Lytechinus pictus: one gene and its partners. The main gene of each other region encodes a partner of the protein of the gene in region 3 in a complex. Links are inferred from orthologs where the notes say so. Each region holds a gene or a part of one and is shown on either strand. Other genes may lie near its edges.

Region 1 (7,957 bases), on a different chromosome or scaffold from region 3:
TCATAATTTTCTCTTCTTTAACGTGTTTAAAGAATCTCTCCCTTGTTTCAGAATATGCAAACTAAAGGATTGCATGACCAGGTTTTTTGTTCTTTGGCCAAAATCCTAACATATTGTTTGCTATTTAATGAAATAAAATGCAATAAAGTGTGTGTGACACCACTCCACTCAGCTTTGCATTGCCTTATTCACCGTTTTGGGCACCATGCGAAGTTTGACATGCTCATATTTTCTTATTTCATTCAATTTTGAATAGTTTGAATAATATTGGAAACATGGGGTGTGATTTGTCTATCACTTTGATGCATAAGTGGATTGATCACAATTTGAATTATGCCACAGCACCCACACATTGTGAATATTTATATCATGTAACCACTGAAAATTTGCTATATCAGGTATTAAAGTCCTATATATATACTTTAATTAATTCAAAGGAATTTTTTGAATTATATGTTTCAGAATCTCATTTCATTTTGTACTTCTGGTATTTCTGAAGACATACATGTAATATATACATGTTAAATCATTTACCTCCATTGTTCAATTAAAGGAATTATTTTTAGAACTATCTGTTTTGGATTTTTCATTTTGAACTTCAAACATTTCTAAAGACTTACATGTAAATTGAAGGAATAATTTTGGAAGTACAGTATCTGTTTAAAAAATCTTATTTCATTTCTAACTTCTAATATTTCTAAAGACATGATTAAAGTTATTTAAATCCATGTGGTCTGCCTCTCCTTTTTCTCTTTTTGATAATAGGTTATATTGGAGTTTACTATAGGCCTACATGTCTGATATCATGTGGTTTGTTCAGTCACAGAAAAGGAAATACTCCGCCTCTATAAACTAAAGCCTTACTGCCCCCCACGCCTATATAAACCATCGCGATTTGTAGTTCTTGTATGTAAGAAGTGGACTTTATTTTTTTTTCTTTGAAATCATGCATGGAAAATGGGGGAGAAATAAGTATATTGAATAATGTGAATTATTAAGGGACAAAACGTAATAAAAAATGAAATTGACTTCTGTTTACATTTGTTTGTTTTATTTTATTCCTCTGATGATCCAGCTGGCACAAATAACTTTGAAGTTATATGTTTACTTAAAATGTTAATTTATAGCAAAGCAGTTTAAACAAGTTGCAATGTAATTTTGTTTTCCCCGAAAGGGGGGATAACGCCGGGGATCTGGCTTGAAAATACAATGTGAGACATTTCAGGAAATATGTGTTCTTCACTGCTATTTCAACTTATTCATCTTTCCATAATAATCATTTCATATGATTGTGGTCGTTTTTTGTGGGCATCATCGCGGAGGGAAAAAATGGTTTAAAAAATATATATAGGCCTATATGAGCATGGTGAGTTCCGTCGTGTTATCGCCTTCTTCCTTAACGTATTCATTTAGAATTCCATCGCAAACCTAATTTCTTCACAAAAAATGGGCTATGCTTAAAAGGTACTCACTCAGCCTCAAGCGTAATATTCTGCCAAAAATCATTGCTATATACAGAACCCTGGCTACTCCCCCTCCCCCCCCCCAAAAAAAACCTTGCAACTCGTTCCATCTACTCAAGTTATAACTCGTTCCCTCTACCTAATAACGCGTTCGTTTGTAATTTCTTTCCAATTATTCTTCTCCCTTTCCCCCATTCATTTTCTTAATTTCTTCTCTTATACTCATGACTTCCTCTTATCTTTCTCTTCCCCTTGGCGCCGCCAATATGGGGGCACCCACCCCCCCCCCCCCCCATTGATCCGCATTTGCAAACATGATAATGAGTAGACCCAACAAGAAGGCTTCTTTTTTCTAAACAGTGGTATGGTTTTTTAGTTAAAACTGTATTGGCCGTCTTGAAATGAATTGCCACGACACCGGACTCTGTGAAAATCAATGGAAATCCCCGAGTTTTAACATAATTATTTGAGGGTCAGCATGTTATTATTCTGTCTACCATCGAGACGCAAAGACTCTTCTTGTGTACGTACCGTTCAGCAAATTTTTGAACTGGTGATCGGGGTGACGACAGATATGGTGAGAAGGGGAATACACTTAATATTGAACGTCTAGAAAAAAATATGATAAAAAAATAACTTAAACAATTATACGAAAACAAAACAAAGGAGCACATTGAGAAAAGAGACCTATCTTTACACACTCCCCCTATCATTCAGCAAGATACGATGACAATTTTCAAAAAGTGGTATAGATATTATAACATCTGCTTATACTTTTACAGAATTAGCTCCTGAGAACATTCCTTTATAGGCCTACTTTTACAGTGAAACCACTCATTTCATTTCATTTTCATTTAGGTTTTATTTCCACAAATCCGTTATGTTACAAAACTTAACTGACATAACTAAGCTGAGCAACCATTACAGACGTAGACTATATAAGTATAGATAGCAAGCATTCTTAATCACTACATATCAATACATGTTTAAGTACATAAAAAAACGGAAAAGTGGAGGAAACCTTGGAAGCAGAATGCTTGTAGATAAGGTTCCCTTTTTTATACAGTACATTTGACATTACTACTTAGTAATAATACACGTGACAACATTTTATCAATTAAATTACACCCACAAAAACAACACAACACAGAAACGTGACAAAAAACAAAGAAAGAAAGAAACGAAGAAATAAAAAAACAAAAGAAATAAAGTAAGCAGCTGCCATCCAACAGAATTTAAGAAACTTCTGGATAATAAGCTCTGTGGACAAAAATGCAATAGAGCATGCCAATAAATAGCAATTTCAGTTTGTTTCATTATATCGAAGAAGAAGCTTTGCTTTCAAGTGATGTTTGAAAATATTATAATTTTGTAGTTGCTTAAGTGTCATATCCAAGGAATTCCAATAAACTGGACCAGTATATACTATCGTTCTTTTCCTAAGTACTGTTCTCAACCTATGCAAGTGAAAGAATGACGACTGTCGGGTAGGGTAAGTATGCAAATGTTGATTCTTTTGGAATAGTGATGTAAAAGCATGAGGAAGATCATTTGAGTTCAATTGAAACATGAAACACCCTAAAAATAAATTATATAAATCATGCACCTTTAATACTTTATTGTTGAAAAATAAAATGTTTGTGTGACTTAACCTGTCAGAATGGCAAATTATTCGCAATACCCGTTTTTGAAGAATTAACAATTTATCCAGTTGGTAATTAAACGAATTACCCCATGCAAGTATACCGTAGTTCAGTGGTGCACTCAGTGGTGCACAGGAGGGGCGGGGCTTATGGAAAAAGAGTGCAAGGAGAAGGAGTGAAATGTAATATATTTTTCTATTATCTCAAAATTTGTCACAAAAAAAAGAGTCCCCGTTTTTTTTTATATAGAATGTCAAAAAATTTGCTCCTCGCTTTGGAGTGTTCCAAATTTTTTCAGTTTTATCAAGGAATTTGTGGTCGCTATTTTATAATAGACAGATGGTCCTTCTAGATCTATACAGGTAGTAAAAAGTTGCTAGGCTTATAGTAGACAGCTGGCAGCCGTCTGTTTCTTTCTACCTCCATGGTTTCGAGGAGTTTTTAACATTTTAAATTTCTCCTCTGTATTTGGTGAGTGGAGCCAACGGAGTTCAGCGAAACAACCAACATAACAGAGACCGAAGCATTTGGTCTAGTAATCTTTTCCAGTATTGTCAAAGAGGTACATGCGGGAAGGAGGGGGGGGGTGTGTAAAGTACATGAAAAAGGGGCCCAAATACACCATGTGCAGCTGTGTTTTGGAGCGAGAGAGCACACGCCCACTCTCTCTGATACGCAATATGCGCTACGATATGCCGCCGCGCGCGCCGATGAGGAGTATGTACCGCGGAAGTGTCACACACGGAAGTGAGAAACGACGGCTCAATTGTTGTCCACGAAAAAGACGGAGATTTCATTTTATTTGCCGTGAAGAATCCATATTTTGAAAACCAAAATGCCGGTGAGTGTTCTTACAATTGATATTATACCCCTGTCTTAGCTTGGTGCTCATACATTTAATATTTAACCTCAAATTAACGTCAATATTTGGGTTGAAACTTACATACAGTCGCACTCGTAAGGTTTTGTGTTGTGATCTTCTCAAGGCAAGGGAAACCAGTCTATTCGAATTCAGCCATGCTTAGGGCGTTAGGCTTGGTTTCAGGACTTGAAAGTTGAAACTGGGACTCGGACTGGGTGGAGTCAAGCTAATGAGACAAAGGAGTAAGGCAATTAGGGACTGGGCAAGGCGGGGCTCAAGACCAGGCTTAAAATTGTGTAGAAAAGGGAGCTGAGACTGCATCGACTGAGTCTGAGGATGAGAAAAGTAATTAAATTTAATTCAAAATGAACCAAAGCTCAGTCAAAGCCAAGCAGTCATGGCAGTAAACATTAATGACTGGTAGATTTTAGATCTAAAGCTACATGTTTGTGGAGGAGAAGAATGAAGCCTTGAAGTAGGCGAAGGAAGCGAAGCCAAGCAAGGTCAAGGAGAAAGGGAGGAATTGATTTTAAAAAAAAGATAGGTCTAGATCTGACTAGAGAAGGGGAAAGAACAGCATGATGAAGAAAGTTAGATAGAACTTGGAAGGCAAAGAGAAGAGAATGAAGGAGAAGAAGAAAGAAAATAGAATGAGATACAGAAAGAAACAAAATGATAAATTATTGAGAAATATAGATGGAAATATTAGATGTTTCAGCAAGGAATTTACAAATATATACAACCTGTACCGGTACTACATGTAAGTAAAAACTAACATTTTCTTATTCATGTCGGTTAATTCATGTATTTTTGTTTATTTTTCTGTTTTACATGATGATGTTTTTGCTGGTCTTGATTTCTACTTGTAATTTCAAGTGTTGATGAACAGTTTGGTTACTCCCTGAAATTGGCTTCCCAGAACCAATGCTATGAAATCAATGTCCAAATTGCTTTGTCATATCCAGGCCTATCACTCACAGTTGAGTACCAATATGAAGATTGGAAACCTGGCCCTTCTACCTCTCAATACCAAGTACAGAGGACCAGCACCACCTGGCAGTAAGTTGACCCATGTTTACTAAATTCTCAAATCCATAAGCATTATAGGCCTACAACAGTAATCAAGTTCTAAAAGACAGGAGGCTAGAAAGAGACTACCTTACTCTGGCATAATCATCCATTAGGGGAGATTCACTAATGTCATGGCTTAAATGGGTTTCAAGTGTGATAGAATCATTTCTATTCTATATTTTATATTTGTCTAATTCTTCTGAAATTTATTGTATCTATTAGTAAATCACACAGGGCCAGTATTCTGTGAATTATGATCTCTCTAATATCTTACTTCTTTAGCTCTAATTGTATTTCATTCTGATTCTTTTGACATTAACCCTTAAATAGATCGAAAGAAAATGTCTAAATCATAACGATGAAAGTGTAACTTTATATCATTGCTCAAGCACTTAAAAAACTACAGGAGTAGTCCGCACTCTAATTCTTATCATTTTAATTAATTATAAAAGGGTAAATTTCACTTCAAAATGAGAAACATTTTAATTGGTTAATAGCCATCCTTGGTTACAGCATATATATGAACTTGACCTTTTTTGTTATAGGGTTGGGTGAGACTTATATTTTGAAGTAGTTATGTAGGTACTTGTATCTTGTTATATGATTTGTGAATCAATATCATTCCTCTTTTTCTTTTTTTTTGTAAATTGCTGCTGATGAATGTTTCTTTAGAATTAGATATTACGATCTTCATTATTTTTTTTCTATCTTTCATTCCCTCTAAGCTGGAGAGAATGACATCGTTGATGAAGCCCTTTTCTATTTCAAGGCAAACGTTTTCTTCAAAAATTATGAAATAAAGGTAGGTTTGATTGATGAAATCTATCCGTCTACTGGTCATTCATTGAATATGTTGAATATGTATGCATTGAATGGATGGATGGATGGATGGACATTTGAAAGAACAAAAGTATGTATGAACTAGAACTGCAATCGTATCAGAATGATGTGCATGCATTGACGCCTGTGATTTAAAGGAGAATGAAACTCTTGGAGCAAGTTAGCTTTTGTGAAAGCAGAAAAATCAAAGAATAAGATCAACAAAACTTTGAGTAAAATAGGACTAGCAATAAAAGAGTTATGAGCATTTGAATGTCGAGATCACTAATGCTATGGAGATCCTCCCATTGGCAATGCGACCAAGATCTGTGATGTCACACACGTACAACTCTCCCATTTGGACACTGAAAATATACCCCAAAACATCTCTTTTTGCTCATTCTAATCATATGACAAACGATTCATCAATGATATAATGTTGTGAAACCTCTGTACTTGTCATCTCATAAAGAGAACACCTCACCTTGTGATAGACTCTATAAAAGTGAGAATATAAGTGAAATAAGTACTAAAGTAATGAGGGAGTTGTACGTGTGTGATATCACAGATCTTGGTCGCATTGCCGTTGGGAGGATCTACATGGCACTAGTGATCTCAATATTCGAATGCTCATAACTTTCTTATTATTAATTCAATCTTCCTCAAACTTTCAACAATATGTTTCTTTGATTTTTCTCTTTGATATGGATTCAGCTGGTTTCAAGGGTTTCATTCTCCTTTAATAGAGGGCAAGGAACAGAAGAGAGAAAACTGTAGATGATATCCATTTTCAAAATATTAGAGGGCTCTATTTCTTAAAGGAATAGTCACTGATGCGTAAAACACAGTTGGATTATGTCAAATGATACAATTGGCAAACCCTGAAAATATGAGATCAAAATAAATTAAAACAAGGAAGTTATGGCAATTTTACTATTTTCCGACTTTGCAATAGAGGACGCTATTTATTAAGGTAATGGTCACTGATGCGTAAAAAACGTTTGAATTATCAGGGATGGTACCCTTAGCAAACTCTGAATATGAGACCATAATGATTGAAAACTAGGAAGTTATGGCCATTATACTATTTTCGACTTTTCAATACAGGGCGCTATTTCTTAAAGGTAATGGTCACTGATGCGTAAAAAACATGTGGATTATGAGGAATGATACAATAAGCATACCCTGAAAAAATGAGACAGAAATGAATGAAAACAAGGAACTTATGGCCATTTTGATATTTCTTTAGTTTGCAATAGAGGGCGCTATTTCTAAATGTAATGGTCACTGATGCGTAAAAAGAATATGGATCATGAAGGATGATATCATAGGCCAACCCTAAAAATTTAAGACCGAAATGAATAACAACAAAGTTATTGTCATTTTACTATTTGTTGACTTTGCAATAGAGGGTACTATTTGTAAATTTAATGGTCACTGATGCGTAAAAAAATTTGTTGAATTGTGAAGGATGATACCATTAGTGAACCATGAAAATATGAGACGGAAATTAATAAAAACAAGCAAGTTATGGCCATTTTACGATTTTCCTAATTTGCATTTCAATAAATATGAAAATTTTGAACGTAGACTATCTTGGATTTGAATTAAGGGCAAGAAGACGGCATTTTGAAGGGCAAGTTGTATATTTATATGAAAGAGCAACTCTTAAACAATCTACTGCAATTTGTTAGAAGTCTGTAGCATGCAGGATTCGGGAGTTAGGACGGGATTAGGAATGGTATGCAAATGGACTTGAAATTTACAAAATGGCGCCTGGATAGTCATGCATGAGTGATTTTGGAAAATGGAAGACGAGGTGCACAACTAGGGATGCTGGACAACATGTCTACCAAGTTTGGATGAATTTGGATGAGGGACGGAGCCAGGGCAGAGCTAACAAAAACCATGTGTTAAACAAATGGGATTTTGTGGAAGAAGAAGAAGATGACGGAATAGGAATACGGAACAACAACAGAGCATTGTCGCCTGTAGGCGTCAGTGCAATGAATGAATAAATGAATAAATAAATGAATGAAAGAGTGAATTATTGAAAGAATGAATGAATGAGTGAGTGAATTAATGAATAGTTTGTTGAT
Region 2 (7,591 bases), on a different chromosome or scaffold from region 3:
TATATACTGAGTGCCCCCCCCCCCCCCCGGGTTACCGCTAATTCCTTTCAAATGATGATCAAAACATAGGCATCCTCGATCCTTTCGTTGGTCATCATAAGCTGCCATCTTGGATGACGTTATCATCCTTACAGACGTATTTACCAGTCGCCATATATCGCGATACCTGCCCCTGCGTTGCGCTTGTCTATGTGCGTTCGTTCAGAACTTTTCGCTCGCATTTGATTGGCCAGGATATAGAAAATTCTAATCAGAAAGCCTTGATAAAAGCCTAACTCAACTAACGTAGAGGGCAGCAACATACAAATTTAAAATAAAGGAATAAATCATCGGTAACATATATTTTCGAATTTTATTAGAAAATTTGTTGTAACAAAAGAAAGATTATAGTCTAACAAAAATAAAGGCCATCGTTCAAGATAATATAATGTCATTTAGACCTTAAAAAAAAATTAAATCTAGACAAAACACGAAAGGCCCGAATTGGGAGAAATGATTACACACGAGGGCTCGCACTAACGTACTACTTTCGGTAAATGGGGATGAGAGTTAAGTGTCAGAAATCAAAGGTCTCCAAACATGTGATACTAACCAATTTTATGGCATTTTAACCTCCATTTGATACAATTATCTTACATGTACCTTTGTCTGCTTGATTTCTTTTCTAAAGCTTTGCAGAACGATCGTGACATGCAAATTAGGGTCACAATTTTTCACGACACTTTTTTTCAGCCGAGCGCGCACTAGTCTATCGTCATGGAATTTTGAGATCACGATACAAGCAAAACCCTTGACCTACTTTATAATTCTGTAAAGCGAATTTGACTTTGGGATCATGACGCTCGCGTCCGTAACGTTGGGGAAGTACAATAAGAAACAAGATGGCGGCGTAAACATCGGGCAAGTCTCTTCCGTCTTTTCACAATATTTTTTCATTTTTTTGATGAATTCTTGTTTTAAAAATAACAACGAGAGCGTAGAAATGTCGGAAATGAAGTTTTATCCCATGTACATGATTTAGAGCTAGATCTTTTAGAAGGAAAGTAGAAATCTCGGGGGTGAAAGTTTCAGGTTTTGGCTTCCATTGTGTGGGTCTATGGGATAGAAGGCCTGGCTTCATGAGAGTGACCTTACGTTAGTAAATGATTTTTACTCTCTAGAAGCCGCCTGGCTAGGCCTTGCCAGGTTTTAAACTAACCCAGAGAGCTCCCGCCCGCGCAGCGGGCGGGAGCCCAGAAGCTTACAGTGTATTTTACCATTGTCACCGGACTAGGGTGATTTATGGTCTAAATATTTCTCCAAATGAATTGTGAAAACGGAAAGTATACAATTACCACGATTATATGGATGAAGGTCTAACGAGTGGCAGATTCCTGACATCTGGGCACAGTCTGGAACCTCAAAAAAACGAAAAGTTCTCTCCTTTTACCCAGTCTCGATCGGCCATTTTGTTACGATTTTTAACAAAAATGGCCGATCGAGACGGGGTAGAAGGAGAGAACTTTTCGTTTTTTTGAGGTTCCAGACTGTGCCCAGATGTCAGGAATCTGCCACTCGTTAGACCTTCATCCATATAATCGTGGTAATTGTATACTTTCTGTTTTCACAATTCATTTGGAGAAATATTTAGACCATAAATCACCCTAGTCCGGTGAATATGGTCAAATACACGGTAAGCTTCTGGGCTCCCGCCCGCTGCGCGGGCGGGAGCTCTCTGGGTTAGTTTTAAACATGTTATTGTTAAACTTAGTTTTAGTTTTATTTTGTTGTAATAGTTCAAGTTGTATGAACTATGAAGCTGAAACTCTGTGTGTTCTGTTTCGGATCACTTTGTACAATACATATTTTCAATTTAAATTACATGATTAAGGCATCTATTTTATGGTATATTGGGATGTCAAAATTATTTGGATAACCGGAAGTCAATTGTAATGGACAGCGGCGCAGCACGGACAGGTAGCGAAGACCACCAGGCAAGCCAGGCCAGAACGCTCCCGTGGATGAACTGTGCCTCGACCATAAAGGCGTAAGTGAGATATTCGACATCCTTTTCCGCGTTCAATTTAGACACCTTTTAGGGCGTTACCAGTAAACTTGACAACAAGCCTCTGACTGCCAATGGTTACATATAAAGTGAAAATACGATAAATATCGATTCACAAAGTTATTTTTTACTAAAATAAATAATACATACCATCTTTTATCGCACTTCCTACACTACCAGGATCGGAAACGCCCGGTCATCAGCACGAAATGCCTCTCCTGATTTCAACTCAGAGGGAGCCAAACAAGAGTGATCAAACCCAAACAACGACGAAAATGTGGTGGGGAAGCAATCGAGAAGATGCGTAGAATGTGGGAGGAACGAATATAGTATAACCATAGAGATGTATACATCTCTATGACTGCAGGGCTCGACACTAGCGCCGGTCCGACGGTCCCAGACCGGTAAAAATCACTGTCGGACCGGTAGATTTTCAGAAATAGCAAGATTTACTGGTCCGACATGACCAGTAAAAAATATTGTCGGGCCAGTAATTTTTCCAAAAATAGCAAGATTTATGGGTCCGACATAAACAGTAATAAAAACTATTGTTGGGCCAGTAACTTTTTCAGAAATGGTCAAATTCGCTAGTCCAACATAAACATGAAAAATATTCCATGACTCAAATTGCGAACCCTTTTCCTCCCGTTGAATTCTGGCATTCACACACAGAACACACACAGAATGAATCGCATGCAATTTTGATAGGGTAACATACAGTGTACACGTGGCTAGCCAGCCACACAGCCCACATGGTAAATTTCCTACTGGCTGCACGGACGAAGCTTGCTTGGCTAACCTCTGGCAGAAATCTCTCACAGAACTGTCAAAATTCACATTTCACACTAATGAAAAGCTCTTATAATGTCCATATTTCCTAAAAAATTGCCAAAATTGGGGTAACTCTGTCATTTGTAAGCAGTAAAAGGAGAAATTTTCACTTCTGTTTTAGTTCAAAGAGATCGGGTTTCGAGTGATATCGTCTGAATACATGATAGCCCCACATATGCATTTGTGTGTGTGTTGATACACTTGGTTTCTTTTGTAGCTAGTACTAGTATATTTTAATTGAGCCAAAAAGAAACTGATAATTTATTTATGATGATAGTTTTAGCTTTCTTCCTTTGTTTTCTTTCAATCTTTCTTTCCTTCTTTCTTTTCAATCTTTCTTTGTTTCTTCCCTCTCTTCTTTTACTGTCTTTCTTTTTTAATTTTCCCTTTTTCTTTGTCTTTTGTTCTTTCATTCTTTCTGTCCTGTTAATATTTTTCTCTATTTCTAATGCTCTTTCTTTTTCTTTCTTTTTTGATTTCCTTCTTTCTTTAATTCTTGAGTCCATCCATCCTATATTTATCTCTTCTTTCTTTCTTAATTTCCTTCCTTCTTTTCCCCTTTCTTTCCTTCATTCTTTGTTACTTTCTATCTTTCCTCATTCCATCCATCCTTTCTTTACCCTTTCTTGTTTTTATTCCTTCTTTCAGCCCTTTCTCTCTTTCATTCCTTCCTTTCTTCTTTGTCTTTTGTTCTTTCTTTTTCCCCTTTGTTCCATCTATCCTTTTACCTTTTCTTTCTTCCTTTTATTTACTGCTTGCTTCCTTTCCTTTCTTTCTTTGAAGTTTGGTCTTTCTTTTTTGTTCTTCCTTTCATTTATTCTTTTACATTTTCTTTCTTTTTTTTATATTGCTTGCTTGCTTCCTTCCTTCTTTATTCCTTCCCAACATTCCTTTTTCCTTCTATCATTTTCCCTTTTCTTGATTTCTTCCTTCTTTCAATCCTTTATTTCTGTTTTCCTTCTTTCCATCTCTCCTTTTACCCTTTCTTTCTTTTTTTATTCCTTCTTTCCTTCTTTCTTTCATTACTTTGTCTTTTGTTCTTTCTTTCTATATTGATTGCTTCATTTCTTTCCTTCTTTCCTTCATTCTTTTTTTCTTTTGTTCTTTCTTTCCTTCCTTTCCTTCTTTGGTTTTTTTTCCTTCCTTCACATTTTTTCTTTACTTTTTTCTTCCTTCGTTTCTTTTATTCTTTCTTTTTTCCTTCTTTCCATCTCTCCTTTTACCCTTTCTTTCTTGTTTTATTGCTTCTTTCCTTTTTCTTTTTTCATTACTTTCTGTCTTTTGTTTTTTTCTTTCTTTATTGCTTGCATCATTTCTTTCCTTCTTTTTTTTTCTTTCTTTCTTTCTTTCTTTCTTTCTTTCTTTCCTTCCTTTTTTTCTTTCGTTCTTTCTTTCTTATTTTTGTTCTTTCTTTCCTTCCTTTCCTTCTTTCTTTCTTTAGTTCTTTCTTTTTTTCCTTCCTTCACATCTATCCTTTCTTTACCTTTGCTTTTTTCTTCCTTCCTTCCTTTCTTTTATTCTTTCTTCCTTTCTTTCTTTTTGTCTTTCATTCATTCATTCCTTCATTTTTTTTTGGGGGGGGGGGGTAACAAGAAAGGACAGCAAAATAAACTCACACCTTTTTTTAATGTTTTCTTTATTTTTTGGGACCAGTAGATTTTAGGTTCGGACCAGTAAAAAATTGAAAAACTGGGTATCTACTGGTCCGACATGAATAGGTTGGACCAGTAGAAAAAAAGGGTTAGTGTGGAGCCCTGCTATGAGTATAACCAAAATATAAAGCAATAAGTAAAAAAAAAATATATTCATATAACACGTGAGAGTTAAAGGGAGCTTGAATAAAAAGCTATCATGGCAGTCTTAATTCGATATTAATTATTTTACAAAGGGGGAGGGCCTCGTCATACCGGAAATAGGAACGCTCTAGAATTAAAAATTAAGTACATCGGGGGCCGGGGGTATATTTTGCCGTAGGAGAAGGAAACTATTAAAAATTACAACTTGATCTATTTGGGAGCAGATTCTATTCTTGTCTGCGGGGTAGGGTGAGGGCTGAAAATTTTTCATCCACGTTTACCCTTTTTGTTTGTTTGTCTCTCTGTACGTCTGTTTTTACAGTGTTTATTTTTTTACTATTTTTTTGGGGGGGTGGTCATCCTTAAGACTGGAACTAAAATCGATGTACATGCCTTTGTTTACGAACTACCCTAACTTGCCATAAGTAGGCATATATTTTGTCCCATTTACACTAGAATTAATCTTTGATTTTTTTTGTAGATAAAGTTACTTTGTTAGTTGTACGTCTTAAATGTTCTAAATAAGGCCGTATGATATTTCGATATTGTGAAAAAAAATGTTAATGATATAGGTACCTGATGAAGGGTCTCGAATGGCTTATGCACAGAGTCAATACATTATTCATCAAGTAGATTCTTTACAATTGACACAAACTGTGTAATGTGTAATTATTCATTGTGTATAATGTAATCGTCAAATCAAAGATTCGGGGATCGAGGACATATATCAAGCTTATTCACCTAAAAAATAAATGAAGGAAAATATAGAAGCTTGTTTCGAGCCAGAGGAAGGATGTAAAAATAGAGTTTCTAACTGTATACAAAGTACAGGCTTTGTTGCAAACATCGACCCCCTGGCGGCCTTTTCACACGACTGCCGGGGCGCGACGTTATACTCAACAGGCATCATTCAGCCCATCCGGCATTAAACAGGGGCCACAAACAATACAACATTTGATTAGATCTTTTGTTATTGTCTGTTGTATACAGTATCGGACACGTCCAAGCGAAGAGTGCGGGAGCGTTGGTCAACTCTCTGGACATACGAAAGGTCAAGATATAAGTGTATTGGTGAAGTGCTAAAGGAACTGATGCCGAAATCTGTAGGAGGTGACCGATGAATGTTCTGCTCGCTTTTTGTAAGTCGAAAATGCGTTGTAGGGTCAAGAGAATATCGTAATATGATTGTTGTGGTCGTCGGCATGGTCGAGTTGCATTTTTTGGTCATTTGCAATTACACGTGGAGCCGGGACGTGGAGTCACTCCTATACAGAACCTACAGAAGTCCTCTGGAGTAGTCCACAAGCGACTGCATCAGCTGGATCCACATCCTGACTTATGGATCCTGCTGAGTATTGTCGTAGAAGTAGAAGCCCTGGTCGAACTTGACCATATCTATTTACATGTATAAGGGTAGACGCCGGGTAGACGCTGTGCAACGCCAATTCAACTTCAACAGCAACTTTGTGATAAACGAAAATGATTCATGTTTAATTGTTTAAGGATTTTTCTTATATATTATTTGTTAATTTTGGGGGGCGTATTTGTTTTTATGTCACCGATATTATCAAAAAAAGTACAGAAGACCGATATCAGGAGTTAGATGAAACTCAAAGCATATCCATAAAGTCGGTCGTTATGTTAGTCTCTACTTGCCCAGGCCTTGAATCATGAAAGATTATCTTCAGGTTTTTATCTTCATGATTGATATTTTCAGTGGGGGGGGGGGGGGTGGCATATCTTTCATGGCCTACATATCCGGGCTATATACTGTATGCATGATGCAGATCTAGTGCGAAGCGCGATCGTGCTGAAAATGTTTGATACTGTCCTGAAAAGAGAATGTTTTAAGCACATGTTTGACTTGTATGAAAATGTGAATATATCTTACTTTGATGTGCAAGCGTAAGCTGATTTTTTTTATATCCAGATCTGAACATGCCGAAAAGGACATTTTAAGCACCCTTTTCCATTAGTGAGATCATGAACAGGATGCATTCGTATCTCAAAAAAAAAACTGCGAAGCGCGAGCGAAAATTTATTATTTCCTTTAGTGACCTTATTTATTTCTTCCAGTTTCCTATTGCCCCATGTCCTTATTTTATCCACTTAACTTCTTACACTTGTCTTTTTTTTCTTCTTTTTATCATCATTATTTTAATTCTCCCCTTCTTATCCCTTTTTCCATTTTCCCTTTGCGCGACGTCAATGGGAGGGTGCGGCCCCGGGGTGCGGCTATAATATACTCATTCGCCTGCCCCTAGATTTGCATATACGTTTATACTAATCGATAATTTTATGTATACTATAGATACATCATAATACATTGGTATTAGTATGATAGATCCAATCATCATCGCTGATGATTAAAATTTTTTTTTTCAGATGAATTTGAAGGGGGGGGGCTATATAGGTGTCGAATTTTAAAATTATACCGCAGTTTTCTGGCACAGGCATGTTTGTCTTTCAAATTATATTCACAAATGTCTATTGTTGATTGCAGGTGTGTCGCCGGCAGCATCATGCCCGAAGGTCCGAGCGTTAGACGGTGGGGTAACATCGCTCGTCAATTCCTCAAGAAACGCATCAAGGAAGTGAAAGGAGTCAGCAAAGTTATGGAACGCGAGAGATGGAGAGGTGCATTCATCAACGATGTTGTCGTTTACGGCAAGCAGTTGTTTTTTCAACTCCTCAAAGAGGGTTTTTCGAAAGGGGACACAAGTGACAAGGAATTGGACACACCCAGGAGGAATAAAACGCGGAAGGTGCATGATCATCGAGAAAAAGACCAAGATTACGGAGAAGACTCCATCTGGTATCGCTATCACTTCTTGATGTGGGGTAGCCTTCGCGCGAACGAATATAAAGAACCTTCAAAGCGTTCGAAGAGAGCAAAAAGGTTAGACTCACCGAAAGCTCC
Region 3 (7,265 bases):
ATTAACAACTATCTTTATAATTCTTAGAGCGCTAGCTGAATTTTTTTTATGTTTAGACCTGGAAAAGAAAAATTTTAAGGATTTAATTTTTTGCGTATAGTCATAAACAGGATGCAAATCCTATAAATTGGTGATACACTAACCTTAATGAAAAGGGGACACGTATCTCATTTATCAAGTAAACATAAAAGAGGCGTAATGAGCCATAAATTTTGAGCGGACAAGATATGGCGTATCGGGTAAAATTAATACAAAGTTATGAGAAGGCGAAGCAAGCGAAATTTTAACATTTTTATTGCAAAAAATCAATTTTGTGGTAGTGTTTGACTTAATATTAAACAAATGATATCATATTTCAGATTCTCTCTTTCCTTTTCTCCCTTTTTCTTGGTCGTGACCTTTTTTGTGGGGGGGGGGGGCCAAGCCCCCCCCCCCCATCTGTGCACCAGTAAGATATAATGTGAGTGAAAAAGTGCGATCTTCTATTTATTATTCATAGATCGGGGGGGGGGGAATTATTGACTGTTATAGAGAAATTCATTAAGATGATACAAATATCAAGCAAAAAAAAAAGGGGGAGACGAAAGAAGGAATAAGACAGTCTAGGTCTGCATGCCTGGGTCGTGTAAAATATGAGGTCACATTTAGGTTGCCCCCCCCCCCCCCCCCCCGTGTAGAAATATTCCCTAAGAGGAGACATTGAAAATGTTTTTTTTTAATTGGGGCTCATTTTATTCATTATATGTAAATTGTACGAGGAAGAGCAAAGACTAAAACGCATCTTTTCTCTCCGCGCCATCAACATCTGCGCACTTCCTGCCATGTCCCTGGGAAGCGGGGGGTGCTGGGGGTGCTGCATTGAAGCACCCCCAACATTTTCCTTGGGGTGCTGCGTGTATTATTCTCCAGAGGCAGCACCCCCAGGTTGTCCGGAAGATGTTTAAAAGTGGAAAATATAACCAAAATTACCTTTTAATAATGTAGTGAAATCCCCATTTTTTGCTTTGTTCTCCATATGTTGTTGTGAAAACTTTTTTTTTTTTTTTACTTTTCAAATTTACATCAGCACCTCCAGTAAAAACTGTGGGGGTATTGGGCAGCAGACCCAATACCCAGGCAAAGAAGAAGAAGAAGTAGGGCCTACCTCTCTCCCTTCTTCATGTTCTTGTTCATTGAGACCACATTACGACTGTTCGCGATCCGATTTTGGAACAAATCGCATTTTGCTCATTTTCTGAAAATGTGAATGGAACAAGTCATTTTATTTGAGGTTAAAATTAATTGAAAGAATACCAATATAACCATTTTGTAAGATTGTAAGCCTTTAAAGGCCAAATTTGTTTCAAATCGTAGCAAATCGTACGACTGCTATGACGTCATTACGACTAACGTTATTAAACATTCTAGGAATTAAGGATGATAGCATAGTCACATATTTGAATATAGGGATTCGTACGATGATCTCGAACATATATTACACAGTAAGATATTCCAAGTCTCAATATTAGCATCGAATTCTGCTACGTTTTATTCCAAAATTGAGTCGCAGACCAATCGCAAGGTGTGCGGTCGCCTTTATAATGGTGAGTGGTGAATTATCGGATGGTCTAATACCACTTAGTCTACTTATCAGTTCGTCCAACTTCACATAGTCTAAACTCATTTCGTCTAAAACCAGTTCGGCTAATATCCAATTCGTCTACTTCCCCGCGCACTTGGTCTAATTTTCATTTCGTCTAATTTTCATATGGTCGAATGACCGTTTGGTCTAATTTCCACTTGGTCTAATATCCACTTGGTCTAATGACCACTCGGTCTAATAGCCAAATGGTCTAATGACCACTTGGTCTAATAGCCAAATGGTCTAATGACCACTTAGTCTAATAGCCGAATGGTCAAATGACCACTTGGTCTAATAGCCAAATGGTCTAATGCCCACTTGGGCTAATCGTCACTTGGTCTAATTTTCATTTGGTCTAATTCACACTTGGTCTACTGTCCATTCATTCTTATATAACATCATTCATTATTATTCATTTGATCTAGAATTAACAAATATATTAATGGATAAATAAATACACCATGCATCAGTTAATACATGCCGCCAGGATCCGGAGGGGTAGAGCCGCGGGGTAGGGCTGGTGGGCGCTGGAGGACTATCGATGAATTATTCCAATGAATCATTCTAATCAAATATAATTCTCATAATTAGGCCTATACATGTATATCGATTATATAGATGATGGTGAAAATTATATCAAACTCATAATCATTATCACCTCATGTACATTTTACAGAACAATATAAGTTGGGACCTTGTACTATAGCTTCTTATAATGGTCGAATGGCGGGGTTTCATCAGAATAGCATTATTATGAAGAAAGGAACGAAAATATAATGCAATTGATTGTGTGGATACGTATCAGGTTAACATGTTTATGCCTCTTATACCAGTTAGATATAGTTTAATAACACTATACACATACAGGTTTATTGGGTTCCATCTTGGTAGCAGCCATTTCTCGATTCTAACCTTCTTCGTATAAGTGGTCACGTGTAATAACATAGTATAGTCTACGCTTGCAGGCCTGTATCAGTTATCATCACAGTAGTCAGTCATTATCTACTCATTGGCCCGTATTCTGAAGTCGGGTTTAACTTAAACTCAGGTTTAAAGTTGTGGTTTAAGTATGGCGAGCCAATTGTTACATAAATTACTAACTGTAGAGATATCATACTTCAGCTCATTTGGCTCTCAAATAATTCATACATGTGTAATTGTCTAGGAAGTATAAAAAGATTATTGGCTTCACCATCGATGAATCAGGAAAGAGCACAGTAAACATAAGAAACATACAACTTAATGACAAATTTGATACTATTGGCTATTCCCATACTTAAACCACAACTTTAAACCTGAGTTTAACTTAAACCCGACTTCAGAATACGGGCCATTCTGTTTTTTGTTTGTTCTTCTTCTCCTCCTCCTTAAAATGGATTGACAGGGTTAATTCCCAGCCCATCAGGGAAATCAAGAAAATCAGGGATTTTAAAAAACATTTTTCCAGTCAGGGAAAAATCAGGAAATTACCTCAAATCAGGGGAAAATCATATAAATGAGGGCAAAATCAGGAAATTTTGATCGGCCCAAAAGTCGAAAGCACGATAGTCCGTCAGACTCTGTTATATTTTGTTGTATATATATCAAAACAATTTATTGAATGACAGGTTATGGTGTTCTTTTTTTTTAGTGTAGCCTCTTTTACTACAGTACAAGTACTGGTACATATGATTAAAAATGATAATACATGCTATTAACAAACAATATACGTAATCAACTGCATCATCTTAGAAAACATGAGAAACTGGGAATGGGTTTGAATAATTATCAGGAAATTTTAAAACCTTATTTTTCCACCTCTATGAACGTATATTAGCGTTTAATATTTCACAGAAAAATAGAAAATTTTATTGTTTTTCACCAAAACCTTCAAAAAATCCCCATTAACAGACAAAAGAAAATCCCCCAATATTTTTTTTAATCCCCATATTTTCAAAATTTGGGGATGGAAATATACCGTCGTCACTCTAACTGTACTCCAACATCGAGGGGCGCACGTGTGAAGCTTCGAAGCCGGCGCGCGGAAAGTAACTTTAAGATTTTCACCAGAAAATTGATAACAAGTCACTAAACTTTACAAATTAGACCAAGTGGCATGTAGACGAAATGAATGTTAGACTATCTGGAAATTAAACAAAGTTGAAATTAGCCGAAGTGGAAATTAGACCAAGTGGAAATTAGCCGAAATGGAAATTAGACCAACTGCACATTAGACCAACTGAATAATGGACCAAGTGAGGATTAGACCAACTGCACATTACACGAACTACAATATAGACCAAATGAATAATGGACCAAGTGAAGATTAGCCCAACTGGGCATTAAACCATTTGGCTATTAGACCAAGTGGTCATATACCAATTGGCTATGAGACCAAGTGGTCATTAGACCAATTGGCTATATATAGACCTTAAGTGGTCATTATAGACCACTTGGCTATTAGACCAAGTGGTCATTAGACCAATTGGCTATGAGACCAAGTGGTCATTAGACCAAAAGAGAATTGGACTAAGTGCATGGGTAATAATAGTCTGAATGTTGTTAGCCCATCTGACGATTAGACCAAGTGATATTAGACCAACCGTCAGTAAACCTTTATAATCACCCCCTAGCAAAAATAAAGGACTTATCGCCCTCTCGTCAGTAGAGGGCAGCAAACACAACTTGTTTTCACTTCCTTCTATTTCTCTCTCGCACAAACGTGAAGTCGAGCGTCGCCCACCTTGAGAAAAAACACCTTTTTTCCCCGGAAAGTGCTGGAAGAATCTGAAAAGTTCTATTGGGTACTGGAGACACAGCATCAAGATGATTTTATTAGAGATAAAGAATAGAATAATCGAAGAGACACTTCTAAATAAATTCGAAGCAGCGGTAGCCGGGTGAGTAAGGAAGTGATTTGGGAATGGGTTGCCTCCCATCTTTGTGCGTACACTGGGGTCACGGTCCCATTCTGAGAGAGTCGTGTTGTAGGAAGTGTAACTACACTGCTCGTAGACTGTACTCTGTAATCTGTATGTGTCTAGATCAGCCATTCTCAATTACTTTTTTTGAAGCGCCACATTTCTTGTTGAGTATCTGTAGTGCGCCACTATATCCATTACACCAGCAAAGTATTTTAGAAGGGGTCTAGAGGCCCTTGGTGGGGGTCGAGGGGGCAGAGCCCCCAGAAGTTTTTGAATGTTAGGCCTTTTAGATTGCCCAGAGGGGCTTTAATTAATATCAACAGAAGAAATACGAATGCCAACAAACTACACATTATATTTATCAAAAGAAAAATGATTAGTGACTTTTTCACAACATACCAATGAAACAACTAGTTCAGACTGTTCTGCAACAGATCTATTGGCTGAAGCAAGTGGCGTAATGAGTAAAAAGAAAATGAGGGGGCTAAATATGGCAGCTGAAGCAAAAATGTTGAGCTTTTCAATACAAAAATCTATATTTTGACATAATATTAAGAAAACAATACAATATTCAACTCTTTCCCTTTCCTTTTCTCCCCTTGTCCTTGAAACACTAGGGGGCCCCAATCCCCACCCCAATCTGTACGCCAGTGGCTGAATTTACAGTCCCTGATTTTCAATGGGCCGAAAATTAGGCGTTGCACTGCACTAACGCCAAAAATTGCCCCCCCCCCTCTCTCTCTACAACTCGTGTTAAACAAGAGTACATGCAGGCAATCGTGGCAGGCAATACATCGAGCATATTTCACTTTTACAACTTCGGATTTTAATCGGCTTCGGAAAACAAAGTTTCTGCTTGTTATGTCCCTAATGGCCTAATTCATTATCTTTTATTATCAGGATGTCCTTTGAATATCATATCATTTCATATTTAACTCTTAAGCAAAACGTATACTCAGGAAATGCAAAATTACTCGCCGTAGAAATAGAAATCCTACAAGCGGGGCTTTCAAATCACTTGTGTGGCACATAAACTTTGTAGCATAGAATAAATAAAAAGAACACCATCGATCCTCCATTATAAGGATTATCGAGTGCTAAATTTGACAAAATTTGAGGAAATCAATAAGTACTTAAGTTTCAAGTAAAGATTTTTTGCTTTCTTTTTGTATTAAAATGATCACCAAATCCTCATGTTACTGGTATACATTTTTCTCCCCAATTTTTCCTTATTTTTTTTATACCGGCTCCCAAGCGCCACTCCACAAGGCTCGGTGCGCCACCATTTGAGAATTCCTGGTCTAGATCTAACGTTAGATCTACCAGTATAGTCACGTATTGTATTACCGGACACTATTATGATTCCGGACGCGCATATTACTGCGTTCTAAAACAAATTTGTACCGTAAGACTTCCGCAATTCGATTTCACAGAGCAATACATAGAACAAGATTGCAAAAACAAGGCAAAAAATCCAACTTTTACCTAATTATCTCTAAAAATGAAAGAAAATGCTTAAAATATCATATAACGTAGTTTTGTATTAACAATTGATATATTTTCTAACGGAAATATGGGCCTGATTTTGCCGAATTTCAATCTCGTCCACTCCTTCGATCGAATGATGAGGTGTGGTGAATTGTGGGTGATCATCGGTGGCTAGTTCTCAAGGGTTCCGGGACAGCCCGACCACCGGACAGCCCGACCCTGGACAGCCCGACCCGCTGCCCTGGACAACTCGTCCCGGTCGAGTTGTCCAGGGTTGGCTCTGAATCGGACAACTCGACCACTTGAATTCTTCTTCAACATTTCAGGTGAAGATTGAAAATGGTCTGATTTGCTTTATCAGAAGAGGTGCAGACTGCAGAACTTCAAATGTTATATGTTAAATTTTCTGTCGAGAATGTATTGTAGAAACATGGATTATGCGGGAAAATACTTTTGAAGTAAAGTTTGAAATTTTATTTCATGAAATGTTGAAGAAGAATTCAAGTGGTCGAGTTGTCCGATTCAGAGCCAACCCTGGACAACTCGACCGGGACGAGTTGTCCAGGGCAGCGGGTCGGGCTGTCCAGGGTCGGGCTGTCCGGTGGTCGGGCTGTCCGGACCCCGTTCTCAAGGTACCCGTGCGCGAGGTTTACCGTGAGTAGAGCCGTCGGCAGCGTATCGATAGAACTTGATAAGCGTCACGATACGAACGCGAGCATATTATTATTGGAAAGTGCCATGGAACATGCAGCTAACAAGACAAAATAGATAAGTTATCAAACACAAATTTATTACCAACATCTGCTCAGATTCGATATAAAAAAAAACAAATAATACTTAGAATTTACTCATGATATGATATAAGAAGAAAAAAATCACACAAATTTGCTCTTACATCATTATAATCAAGGATATCTTTACCCGTCCGGCGCGCGTCCGGAATCATGATGTAATTTGTCGCGCACGAAAATAATTGTTTTTCGTGGAGGGGTATGCGGCAAGTGCGATGCAAAGAAAATTGTTGGTAAATATAAAATAATTTTATCATATTCATAATTTTCATAATATTTGGAATAGCGGGTGTGAATTTTTCTTGATTGTATTTCCTCTAGTTGTCATTTTTAAAGCACTGAAATAAAGGTGTCCGGCAATAGGATACACTGCCATACCACGACTTTTACTAGGCTGAGTTGATAGTTTAGTTAAGTGTGTGTGTGCAGGAGAAGGTAGACAATGTTAGATTATATTAAACT

Evidence for each region.
Region 1: actin-related protein 2/3 complex subunit 2-like (region 3) and actin-related protein 2/3 complex subunit 3-like share a complex: the UniProt entries of both Caenorhabditis elegans proteins name them as parts of the arp2/3 complex. The link is inferred for Lytechinus pictus from reciprocal best matches to the Caenorhabditis elegans genes arx-4 and arx-5.
Region 2: actin-related protein 2/3 complex subunit 2-like (region 3) and actin-related protein 2/3 complex subunit 4 share a complex: the UniProt entries of both Caenorhabditis elegans proteins name them as parts of the arp2/3 complex. The link is inferred for Lytechinus pictus from reciprocal best matches to the Caenorhabditis elegans genes arx-4 and arx-6.

Annotation. Positions count from the first base shown.
Region 1 is NC_087246.1:16,006,857-16,014,813, reverse strand, and holds the start of actin-related protein 2/3 complex subunit 3-like, read left to right. Parts: upstream 1-4,897; coding exon 4,898-5,027; intron 5,028-5,764; coding exon 5,765-5,841; intron 5,842-7,957. UniProt on the Caenorhabditis elegans protein: Functions as a component of the Arp2/3 complex which is involved in regulation of actin polymerization and together with an activating nucleation-promoting factor (NPF) mediates the formation of branched actin networks.
Region 2 is NC_087247.1:40,228,978-40,236,568, forward strand, and holds the start of actin-related protein 2/3 complex subunit 4, read right to left. Parts: upstream 3,055-7,591; 5' UTR 2,198-3,054; coding exon 2,195-2,197; intron 1-2,194. UniProt on the Caenorhabditis elegans protein: Functions as actin-binding component of the Arp2/3 complex which is involved in regulation of actin polymerization and together with an activating nucleation-promoting factor (NPF) mediates the formation of branched actin networks.
Region 3 is NC_087257.1:14,507,605-14,514,869, reverse strand, and holds the start of actin-related protein 2/3 complex subunit 2-like, read left to right. Parts: upstream 1-4,263; 5' UTR 4,264-4,426; coding exon 4,427-4,500; intron 4,501-7,265. UniProt on the Caenorhabditis elegans protein: Functions as actin-binding component of the Arp2/3 complex which is involved in regulation of actin polymerization and together with an activating nucleation-promoting factor (NPF) mediates the formation of branched actin networks.